Linked DNA regions of Arabidopsis thaliana. The protein of the gene in region 1 purifies or fractionates together with the protein of each later gene. This does not show direct contact. Each region holds a gene or a part of one and is shown on either strand. Other genes may lie near its edges.

What was found. Proteins that work in one complex are often made in the same cells at the same time.
Region 2: the proteins of AT1G18850 (region 1) and THO7 fractionate together in Arabidopsis thaliana (co-fractionation; one large-scale study listed by BioGRID). This does not show direct contact.

What each region holds. Positions count from the first base shown.
Region 1 is NC_003070.9:6,503,160-6,509,196, forward strand, and holds AT1G18850 (uncharacterized protein), read right to left. Parts: upstream 3,384-6,037; 5' UTR 3,166-3,383; intron 3,003-3,165; 5' UTR 2,969-3,002; coding exon 1,769-2,968; 3' UTR 1,518-1,768; downstream 1-1,517. Other genes in the region: IQD30 (IQ-domain 30), read right to left, coding at 196-276; WRKY61 (WRKY DNA-binding protein 61), read left to right, coding at 5,748-5,870.
Region 2 is NC_003076.8:5,521,305-5,526,918, forward strand, and holds THO7 (Tho complex subunit 7/Mft1p), read right to left. Parts: upstream 2,708-5,614; 5' UTR 2,531-2,707; exon of another isoform or gene 2,203-2,530; 5' UTR 2,172-2,202; coding exon 1,575-2,171; intron 1,443-1,574; coding exon 1,338-1,442; 3' UTR 1,113-1,337; downstream 1-1,112. Other genes in the region: DOT2 (SART-1 family), read right to left, coding at 1-262; AT5G16800 (Acyl-CoA N-acyltransferases (NAT) superfamily protein), read right to left, coding at 3,205-3,431, 3,532-3,735, 3,853-3,952, 4,595-4,739, 4,846-4,991; AT5G16810 (Protein kinase superfamily protein), read right to left, coding at 5,556-5,614.

The DNA.
Region 1 (6,037 bases):
ACACCATAGACAATAGTAGACGACACAAAATTAGTGGGAAATTTGCAATGTCTAAAGTGAAAAAACTAGTAAAAGAGATGTCAAGCAGTCAAGGTCCTCTACGAGAACCACTACTGTAATCAACCTGAGAAATTTAACTATGCAAGCTTGAAATTCATTTGTTTTATCATACAACATTGTGCGGAAGTGTGTTACCTCCTTATCTTTAGAACCACTAGATTTAGATGGTTTCTTTCCAAGTAGTACACTTTTTAACCACCTTGCAGGCTTTCCCATTATGTCCACAACCAAAATTCAAAACACCTGCATTAGTCCGAACAATCACAAAATATTATGGTCAAGCAATAACACAAGACTATAACACAACACTTTCATTACTAAAGATTGCAATTTTCATATTTTGGTTCTATCTAGAGCTTTTAGACATTAAAGAGATACATAAGCTCTTTGTAACAGGATTCATCATACTAAGTTCAATGGATCAGCCATTTGTTTATAACTATGTATAGATCACTATCAAACATAAAATCATTCTTTTATAAGTACATGAGCTAAGGATTTGGATTTTTTTATAAAAAGATTAAATAGTAGTAATCCACAATCATTAACCAATGAAATCAAACAAGAAAGAGAAAGAAAATGCAATGATCATCCTAATCTAAAATCAACAAAATCTCCAAAATTGCAAAAACGTATAAAACTCCAGAAATGAAATAACCAAAACCAGATCTGGAACTCACCTTGCAAGTAAATGTACCTGATCTCAAATCCACACTACCTGATCTCAAAATCTACAATAAAGAATCATACAAAATGAAATAAAGATCCGAGTAATGTCTGTCTCCAAATAGAGAATCTGGTCGGATCTAATGTCTGATTTCCGACAAAAACTAAGACGAAGACAACAGTACCCGTGATTACCAAAAGATGCTTTCCATTTGCAGTCTCTACAGAGTGTAGTGCATCGGTGGTGTTAGTTCCAGTGTCCACGAAGAGAGAGAGAGAACAACTTTATTTATTTCTATTTTAAAACTAAAACAAACGCATCTCCGAATTCAAAATCTTGTTGCACCGTTCTTCTACAGCCGTTGGATCAATACTTTTTCCATCAACAAAAAACCAAAAAAATGAAAACTTTAATGGAAAAAATTGCTACTACCAATTAAGTATCAACACAATTGGGAAATGATGATAATTGACAGATAGGTAATTTAAGAAGGTGAAGAAAGTTAGGAGTTGGGTAGTCCCCAGACTGCAGCTTACTTTGTGAACAAGTGTAATAACTCAGCTGCGTAACTATGAAGCATTTCTGGATGTAATTACATTCTTGCCCCTTCTTCTTCTTCAACCTCAGCGAGAGTACCTCACTTTCGTGGTGATGATACATTAGCCGTTTGATTTTGCGGCAAGGTCTCGTGAGTGTTCATAAAGGAACGGTTTTTATTATCCGGCTCTGTGAGACACTTCGTTGAGCAACAACTTGTGCTCATTCTTCAACAAAGTAAGCTGTTGTATTGCAAAGATAAACCTTTTACTCTTCCTGTTGTAACTGATAAAGAATTCTTGGAAAAGAAAACAATTTTAAACCATGTGGTGCATCCTAAATGAGATTGGCAATGTGCAGAGGTTGGAGACAAACTCTCAAAGATAGCGAACAAAATTATACTTTAGTTAAGAGATGAACTGAAACTAGAAAATACAAATGTCACTGGAGACCATAATAAAAAGTGAAAACAGGGTTGCATTAAGCTCCAACAATTGTGAAAATCTAGTTTCGGGCAGCTCCAAGCTTCAAACTTTCAACCACATTAGCCACAAAACAGGAAAGTTTTGATTCTGAAGCTAACCCATCGGCTACTCTTGCAATAGACTTTAGCTCTTCATGCAAATCCGAGTACAGAACCAGAGTGGAGAAGTTCTCATCGATAAGAAGTCCCAAACATTTGGTAATGTCTGTGAGTTCAGGAACCCAGTTGCATAGTTTCAAACCAAGCTTGGAGGCGGCTTTAGGGCATGGACCAGCTTGTGGGAACATCTCATACTTCTTCATCCATTTAGAGAGGTATCGAATAAAGCTACCCATCTCATTGCCATTCAACTTACTGACTGCAGATGCAAACATGACTTCGTCAACATTCCGTGAAGCTAACAAGTAATGCAGGCAAAGCTCTGAGGTTGAAAACCCGTCATGAGCAACCATTAACAAGATAGAAGCCTCTTCTGCAACTTTAGACTTCTTTGATAGCTCTGTGTTGCTCACCTTTTCAATAGCCAACATAGCCTGACTCTCCCATTCTTCTCTTACCTTAGCCATAGTGCTAATTGCTTCCTTTGATGGGCATAAAAAATACTTCAAGATTGAAAGTAGCTCAGTTGCCCCAAGATCTGAAGCTTCTTTGATCACTACGCAAAGCAAATCTGACCTTTGCTTCTCAACAAGATTGCTAACTAAATAAGAGTATGAAGAATGATCAACCAAGGAGTTTGAAATCAAAATTTCCACTAGCTCCCACATCTCTAGACTAATACAACCTTTCAACACTAAACCAGATACATCTCTACCCATCAAAAACCCATTTTTCTCCACCAGTATCTGTATCTCAGAACCAGCTTGATCTCCCAAAACCATCTCAGACTCAGCCTCTGAAATCCCAACTTTCTCACCAATTTTCTCAAGAAACTGCTTTAACATCTTGACAAACTCATCTTTGACAAACCCGTTAGTATCCTTAAGCTTCCTTTTCAGCTTAGATGAAAACTTTTTACCCAAATCGATGACTTCAACATCACTTTCAGAGATTCCCCACCCGGAAATTGGATTGACAAGGGTACCAAGATTAGGGTTTTCTAGCTTTGGTTTCAGATTCGCAAAGATACCATCGTGGCTAAGAGGGATTGGATAATCGGATTGCGAGTCGACCTTGTCCTGATTCGCTACGGCGTTGGAGATAGCTTCGAGCAGCGTCATTGCGAACCAAAAAAATCAAAACTTTATCCAAAATCTGTAATAACAAACAGAACCCATTAACGCAAAACCATGAATCCATTCGAAGATTACACAAACAAAGGCTCAAAAAGAGTAAACTAATCTAAAAGCAAATTCAGAAGAGTTCCAAGGAGACCTAAACAACAATGGTTTAGCGACTAGAGCTGTCAAAATTTTACCTTTCGGATGAAATTATAAGGATGAGAGTTCACTTCAATCGCCGAGACTCGATATCTGTGTGAGGTTAAGGGCAGAGACAGGTAAAGATGAAAAGCTAAAAGAAGGCGAGAGCAATTAGGGTTTAGGGTTTTGTAAATGGAACACTACTTTCTGCGTTTTAATCTGTTTCCAAATATACCCCTGTATTCTCTTACTTATTACGGTGTTATCGGATTTTGGGCATCGACGAATTTAGCTGAATTTTTTTTTTTTCTGGCCTTTTTTTTTTCTTTTGCTAATTGTAGAAAATGTTTCTAAACAATTTTAAGAGAAAAGTTAAAGTAGTTAAGACATGATGTGCTATAATAAAACACCAAGTCAACAAGCTGACTATTTATTCTAAAATGTCAATGGCATATACATAACTCTACGCAACCAGCAAAAGGCCTTAGATCGTGGTCCATTTAAATATGTACTTGTTAATATCAAATTATCAATCACATGTGATATGTCCATGATAATTCATCAAATATATCATGATATATGGTCAATTAGTTTCTAGTTTAAAACTCATATAACGTAAGATTATGTTGGTAAATTTAATTACAACTCTAGTGTTATATTTATGATTAACACATATATCATATATTACTAGTTTGATGCCAAGTCTACGTACCAAGTACCATTCATTTGGCAAAAAAAAAAAAAAAGACTTAGTTAAACAAAGAGACAAACTGCGCTAAACCTAAATAAAATATACAACTTGAAATTGATTAAACTTTCCTATGGAATTTTGTTTGTAGGGAAGCCACAAAAAATTTAAAAATTGTAAGCTGATTGATTAGATATGACCATTTATTTTGTGTTCTAGATTTATAGTTTTGCTCATACATCATGGCATATATTTGAGTGGTTTGTGTAAATATTTATTACGTTTTGCACTCACCAATAATTAAATCTGCAGAAATATAAATCTTCAACAAAAATTGACCTTTTATTAATTATAAAGATATTTTATTTGTGTAATGTCACCAATGTATGACTTTAAGTTCATATATTGGAGTGCTCGTTTTTGTAAACGCATGTATATCATAGCTGGAGTCATATATATTTTTCTTGGTAATTAGTATTTTCGATCTATAGTCAAGGTCTTTTCTAACCGCTGATTAATAATATCAAAATTCCACTGCTCCACAATACATTAATTATATTGTATACCAAACTTTATTCTGCGTTTAGATTCAGATCCAGTAGTAGATAAAATAATAATTCCGATCCAATACAATTCATTTGATGCTTTAATTAGAACGATCGATGGAGCAACTAAAACCGAATTTGGTCATTCTTTGCCATTTGAAAAACAACCAGTCGTCTCATTTGTTGTTAATAAGTTAACATTGATACGTACGTCGGTACGCGAGTGGCAAAACAAACACATCAGCTCTAAGACGAAACACGTTTGGTTTTCCAAAAAAAAAACGATGTATTGATAAGCTATATTGACTTAAAAGGTAATATAGTAACAGCTATCGAAAAATACTACGAATAAATTAGCTAAATTATAATATTAATTATATTAGACTATTTAAATTAGCAAGAAATCTCTTGGAATGATCTTTCTATTACCTATTTTGGTTCATTCTCTTGTTAATTAACCATAGTAATCCATTTGCGGATTGGCCTGTATCTAGACATTTGTTCTGTCGCTACCACTAGAAGTTTATCATTTTGAAAATGAAAAGATAAGAGAGATAAAATTGTAACGATGTGATCAAGAAATTTCAACGTTGTTCTTTAGCAGCAACGTTGGCCGGTGGGTCCATAATTTCGGCTCCAAACCTTATAACAGTGTTTGTTGTTGAGACATAGCTATTTTATTATAACATTAAGCGTTGAAGTTCAATATTTCTTTTCCAATTAGTCGACACTATCGATCCACGAACAATATTCTTCTTTCTTTTTTCCGAATAAATCGGATGCACAATGGTTGTTTTTATTATGTACGTGTGTTGGTATTAGTTTAAAGGGCAGAAAAACCAATTAATAGTATATTATAATATCCCATTCATATTTGGTCGTATACATTGTTATTTTTAACTTATTTGTTTTGTTCAATTGGATTGGCTGTTGACCTTTCAAGATTTCATTGTTGCGTGCTTGTTTTTCTCATGGTTTGAAACATTGCTGCATAAAATGAGTAAATAGAATAATTGTACAACCACTTGGTTCAATGTTTTTACATTTTATAGTCTACAAAAACTCTTTATAAACTAGTATTTAATTTCTGATTTTGGAATTTCAACCTACCGTAAAACAAAACAGCGAGACTATCTAATTACAAGACTATAATTGAATTTTAAATCTTAATTTAATATTATATGTGCACTATATGTTTCATTCTATTTAAGATAGATATTTGGTAATTTTGTAAATTATAGAAATATGTCATGTTCTCTGAACATTATTAATATAGGAGACTTGCATGTTTTTGTGAATTGTTTAATTGGCATAGTCAAAGGATGTATAGGTTGCATATATAGAAATCAACAGTTCCCAAGAGAAAACATGAGAGCTAATAAAAAATTTATCAAAGAAGACTAATATGGAGAAGGACGATTTCTTGAGGAGTGGTCATGGAAGAGAAGAAAGCCATGATGAGATGAGAAAACTTGATTCATCTCACGATGATTCTCATCAAGAACACGACCATATTATAAGATCCAAGGTATCATAAATTTCCTTTTGTATAGTTTTCAAATATTTAGACGTCATTTATAAATCGCATAAATCAATCCTTGGAATTACATACATGTATCTTTCATAATCTTATCACATAGATGGTTTGTTTTATCCAAAATCCATTTTTATTAATTGATTGATTAGTCTTAATCA
Region 2 (5,614 bases), on another chromosome or scaffold:
TCTCCCTCTCTTTATCTCTACCTCTAGAGATCTCCTTCTCAGTGTCCTCATCTCTACTTCTTTTTCGGTCTCTCTCTTTCTCCTTATCCCTGCGGTGGTCCTTATCCCTGATCTTTTCTCGATCATAGTCCTTTTCTTTATCCTTGCTCCTATGATCCTTCTCTTTCCTCCTTCCATCTCTGTGTTCTCTAACAGGCGAACCCTCGTAGTCAGCCCTCTCTTCCCTGATTTCATGCCTTGATTTAGACTTCTCCACTTCCATTTTCAAGAACTTTAGTCAAGACCTAACCACAGAAAAAGGAGTTACTCAGTAACAACAATTACAATGGTAGCAAAACTACAGCCGAGCAAGATGAGAATAACAAAACTATTATATTGGCATTACTCTGACAAAGTACTTGCACACTTGATGACAATTTTCGGTTTCAAAACTAGTGACAAAACACAAAAACACAAAAACCCTAACCTAAGAAGGATTTCATTATTATTGGGGAAATAAGGTAAAATCAAATCCTGAATCTAGCTAGCTATAAACATATTCAGACTTTGGAGGATAAACGGAAAACGGAACAAGGTCAAGCGATTCGAAATTCATCGGAAAAAAGAAGAAGCAAACATCTGAAACGAAATATCAAAGAAAACAAAGGTTGATCAAATTCCGATTCGAATTACCTCTAGATCAAACCTTCAATGGAAAGTACTGAATATTCGGATCGACGAACAAAGAGCTCAGAATTGCAGGAGAAATTTCCGAGGGTTTAGAGATAAATTGCGAAAGCACACCGACGAATAGTAAGGTTTAGAAGATAAAGACCTAGCAACTGCGAAGAATTTAGAAAAGAATGCTTCAAACGAGAGAGATGACGACAAACAGCAAACCGCGGACGATCGCAAACTCGCCGTGGAAAGAGACGGAGAGACTCTCTGGTGGCGAAGAGAGGAGAACGATTTTGCAAAATAGAGAAGATATACGTGTACTGTATATATATTAGTCCGGTTTAAAAGCAAATTCTTTGGTACGGGAATAAATCTTAGTCGGTTGAATTTTCTGGACCGGTTATTTTCCTGATGAATCATTACCAAACTTGGTTTAGTCAAATAAATCACTTTCTCCTGACCTTTCCGGTTCACATAGTCCTCAAAACCTCGAGAAGATCTGCCATTATTTTTTTTGAATCTGCGAGTTAAAATGAAACATACATATCCTTATTTTCATAGCAATTTTGGTTATGAGGCAACCAGAAGAAACCAGAAATTTATAAAACAGATTCTTCTTATCAATGAAAGGTTTGTTTCTTTAGCATTCAAGAGGAAGACAAAGTTGCTAAGATTAGGAGCTAATCGATGGACATGGCTTCAGCGCCATCAGCGGTAATGTTCCTCTGCATTTCTTCCACCATACTCTTCTGTTCATCCTCCATTGTCTCCTGCAACTCATCCACCTATACATAAAAGTTTTCACAAAACCAAAAAGGTTAGGATTTAGCTGTAAACATAAAGAAACACGAGAAAGGCGAAATCTTGTTTAGAATCTTAGCTATAAAAACACAACGAAACCCGTAAAATCGACATACCACATGCAACAACAATGCAAACTGCTTCTTCCTTAGTTCAAGAAGTCTCCAACTTGCTGTATTCTCAGCCTCGAGTTCTGCAATCTCCTTCTTCAATTCATGTATAACCTTCTGCGTCTCTGACCTCGGTGGCTGCGCAGAGATAAGTTTCCTAATGGCTTCACACTCCTCTTTCTGTTGTCTCTCTATCTTACTCTCCTCAAGCTGTTTCTTAAGATCTTCTATATCAGCTTGTGCCTGCATTATCTGCCTATTCGTCTCATCTTTAAGCTCGTTAAAGTTCTCTTTCTCCCTAAGATTTGCAGCGACAACTACTTGGCTCTTAAGAAGCGGAATCTCAAACGCAGAGAGTTCTTGCAAGAAAGCTTTCGCGAGCCTACCACACTCACTGTAGTTATCTTCTTCTTTGTCTAGTTCAATAACAAAAGAAGTGAATTTCTTCTGAAGCTTCTTCAATGGAGGTTCGCCTCTGGTGGTGGTCGTGCGTGTGAGAAGCCTATTTCTTATAATTTTGTCATCATGTAACGGATCGAAAGCATAATTAGCTGCTACAGTCTCTGATCTACCCGAAACAATCCTCCTAGCTCTCACTGACATCTTAACTACTAGAGTCTAATATTATTCAAATCTGCAGAACAAACACAATTCATAATAAGCTAGGCTAGGCTTCGCATAATTCTGACAAAGCATTATCTTAAACCAAACAAATAAATCTATGTAAGCTAAAAACTGCTCAAAACAATGAGAACACACTAAGGTCCTTTTTGAATACTCATTCACGGGAATTCATAACATTCGAACTAGTAATTAAGCAAAAGTTTCATAGAATTCGATTTATTCTTCTCATCGTCAAAATCGTTATAGGACAACTTCTGTTTCTCAAATTTTCAGTGAACCGAAATTATAGTGAGATTGACCCAATAAATAATCGGCGAAAAAGAGAATATTTAACTTACTTGAACCGAACCGAACCCAATATCAATTCACCTCTTGTACGATTAAAAATCCGAAACAGAGAAATTATGATTCTCTGATGCACTGTGAACCCTAATTCTATGTTTCCGTTCCTTCTTCCCCTTTCCCTCGTTCTTCACAGTTTGCTCGTTAACTTTCATTTATTATATACCTAATCCCTATTGTTTTTTAAATTACAATTTAAGCATTCACAGTGGTGAACTGAAATTTGTTACTAACCCAGAAAATTGGTCTGGTTTGTTTTTTTTTTTTTAAATCTGTTTAAACATCTCTAGTTAATTCCATGTCATGTGAATTAGCCCCAATTAGAGCCAAAAGCTGTTCATGATCAGAATTGAAGAAGGATCTGGTTTCTCGAAAAAAGTATTGGGGTTTGTTTTTGTAATTTTAAGTAAATTATATGAGCTTATGCTAGTTTTCACGCCATAAAGCACAAAGCTAATTTTTTCAACAAGCTAACTAATTTAAGACAATAAGACTAACAGTGGATTGAACCCTCCGTCCCAAAGAGTTGTCTTCAACTATCACATCACAATATTTACATTTTTATCACATTATTATTCTACACGAACACACACAATAGGATCACAACCAGAGCTTAATGGAAGACATTAAAATGAATGATTTTACAAAGTCTATGAATGGGAGACGGACACTATACGTAATCATACCCGGATGATACTCTTTCCGATGCAAGGTTTCGTTTAGTCTGAGTGGGCAAGAGACACCGCGTGTTGTCTTTGCTTTTAAGCCATTTCGAGCCTTTCTCATCGTGGTTCACCGTCAGCTTTGATGCGAAAGATTTGATTCCGCTCCTCATATAATTCAGAACCAACACCGCAAGATCTCTGCAATGCAGCCATGATTCAGCGATAACCCCATCTATGAAGAAACCGCAAAGAAACATCACAGCAAACAGAATTTAGAATGCAAAAAATACTTGTGTTTTGTACATACAAGGGTGAGCAAGGAGAGCGAGAACCGTTGATAAAGTAGACGAACAAGTAAGAATCGAAATGCTGGCCGTTGATTAAGTAGAATCCGTGTAACCTCCTTACACATCTGAAAGACATTCTTTTGTACAACCGGATTGCGGGATTGTTGTGTGCAATCACGTGAAGGTAAACACCACGGCACACAGGGATACCAGAAGAGTATTTGACGACCTCGTTAATAAGTGCCTTAGCTGCACAAAAAAGTTGCAGAACTTAATATTAACAAAACCAAGCAATAGAAGAGAAGCATCAAGCCATCAACAAAATATCCATATCATTGGTTTACTACATGGGGTCAGAATCAATACCGATTCCACGTTTTCTGTATGTTTCTACAACTCCAAGTGTTAGGATGTACACCAATGTCCCCTCTCCCTTCGACGAGTCATATCTTATTAGATCTGATATCTGTACAAGACATAGAAAATCTATCAACATATTACCCAAGAAACAGCCATTGATGACTCTTAACATTAAACGAACAAGTACAAAACAAGTTTGGATCATAATCAAGATGTTAATAAAGTGGCTGGCTCTTTTTGATTTTCTAGAACTTTCGTAAGAAACCCATCTAATGTACATGGCTTTAAAATTCACGCTTAAACCATTAGACATTGTGAAATGGTTCAACAACATTCAAAATCTACACTTCACAATTACTTGTTACTTGCTGTATAAAGTTATTTCGAAATTTCAGAACCAAAACCCAAAAGGCGAAGAACAAAGAGAAGACAATGTTTTACTACTGAAGAAGCTCCAACCAAAACTTAAAAGCTTAGAAAAAGCTGTTGAAATTGTAGAAAGTTTATATTTTTAAGAAATTTTTAAGAAAATGTTTCAAACATTCAAAATTTTCACTTTACAAGACATTGCATCTTCTTTACAAAACCCAAAAACCATTCAAAACAAGCTTCAAAAATAACTTGAAACGTTACAAATTGAAGCTTTATTTTCTCCAGTGGAAAGAAACCCATTTCGGACATTTGAAATCTACACTTGAACAAGACGATGAAAAAGGAAGACACTTGAACAAAACACAAAGCAACTCACTTCGCTTTCTTTGGCAAGTACGATTTTGGCAGTAACAAATCCAATAAGTTCCTCAGAATGACCATCAGGGCGACTCCGATCAACAGCAGCCCAAGAGACAATATCACCTCCGTTGACAACATTCTGAAAAAACTCAGACTCATACCTGAACAAAATCAAATGCTTTGATAAGACACTTCCAAAAAACGGAAAGTCAAATCCCAAAACCAGATCACATATAAATTCTTTCCAAAACAAAGGTATTTATTTACCTGATTGGGAATATGTCACGATGGATTTGCTCCAAACGTTCTAAATCAGAAGGGTTTATTGGTCTGAAGCAAATAGTTGGACGACGAGCGATTTTGGGTTCCTCCATTGATGAATTCTCCACAAATCCACGGGGAAAACGCGACATTGATCGAGATGATTAAGACTCAAACAACCTCAAATTCTCAATTTTTGATACTTTCATCTGAGAAAGAATCGAGTTCGAGATCAAAATCGGTCTCCGACCCGTTTGTCTGAATCGGAACCGGGTGGGTTAGGGTTTCCAGAATCAGAAGATGGGTTTGTTGATCTGCAAAGGTTTCTCGGAGAGTCAAGTGGGAATCGAAAGAAATGTGAAAACAAACGACTTTTGGAGAAGAAGAGGAAGGAAAAGTATTTGCTTGATTGCTTTGCCGTCTTCCCCACACATCGTTATGGCTTCAAGCGAAGCATCTTTGATTCTTCTTCGGATCATCTCACGTGCCTTGCGACTAACAAGCACGTGCGCATCTTCATCATTCTTTTACTTTTGACGACATTCTATTGTTTAGTTTAGTGACAACAAAACAATCTTAGTATAGCTAGTGCAGGATGAGCAGATTCAATATCATATTTTGGGAACCCACGATATATGATTATATGTTCAGAACATGGATCAAGGATTAATAGTTGTAGATAATTACGTAAATACATAATCTTCGTCTCTTCTCATTTAAACTACGCCATTCAAAAATCGATGACTAAGAACAGCTTCCGCCATTGGCCGCTTCC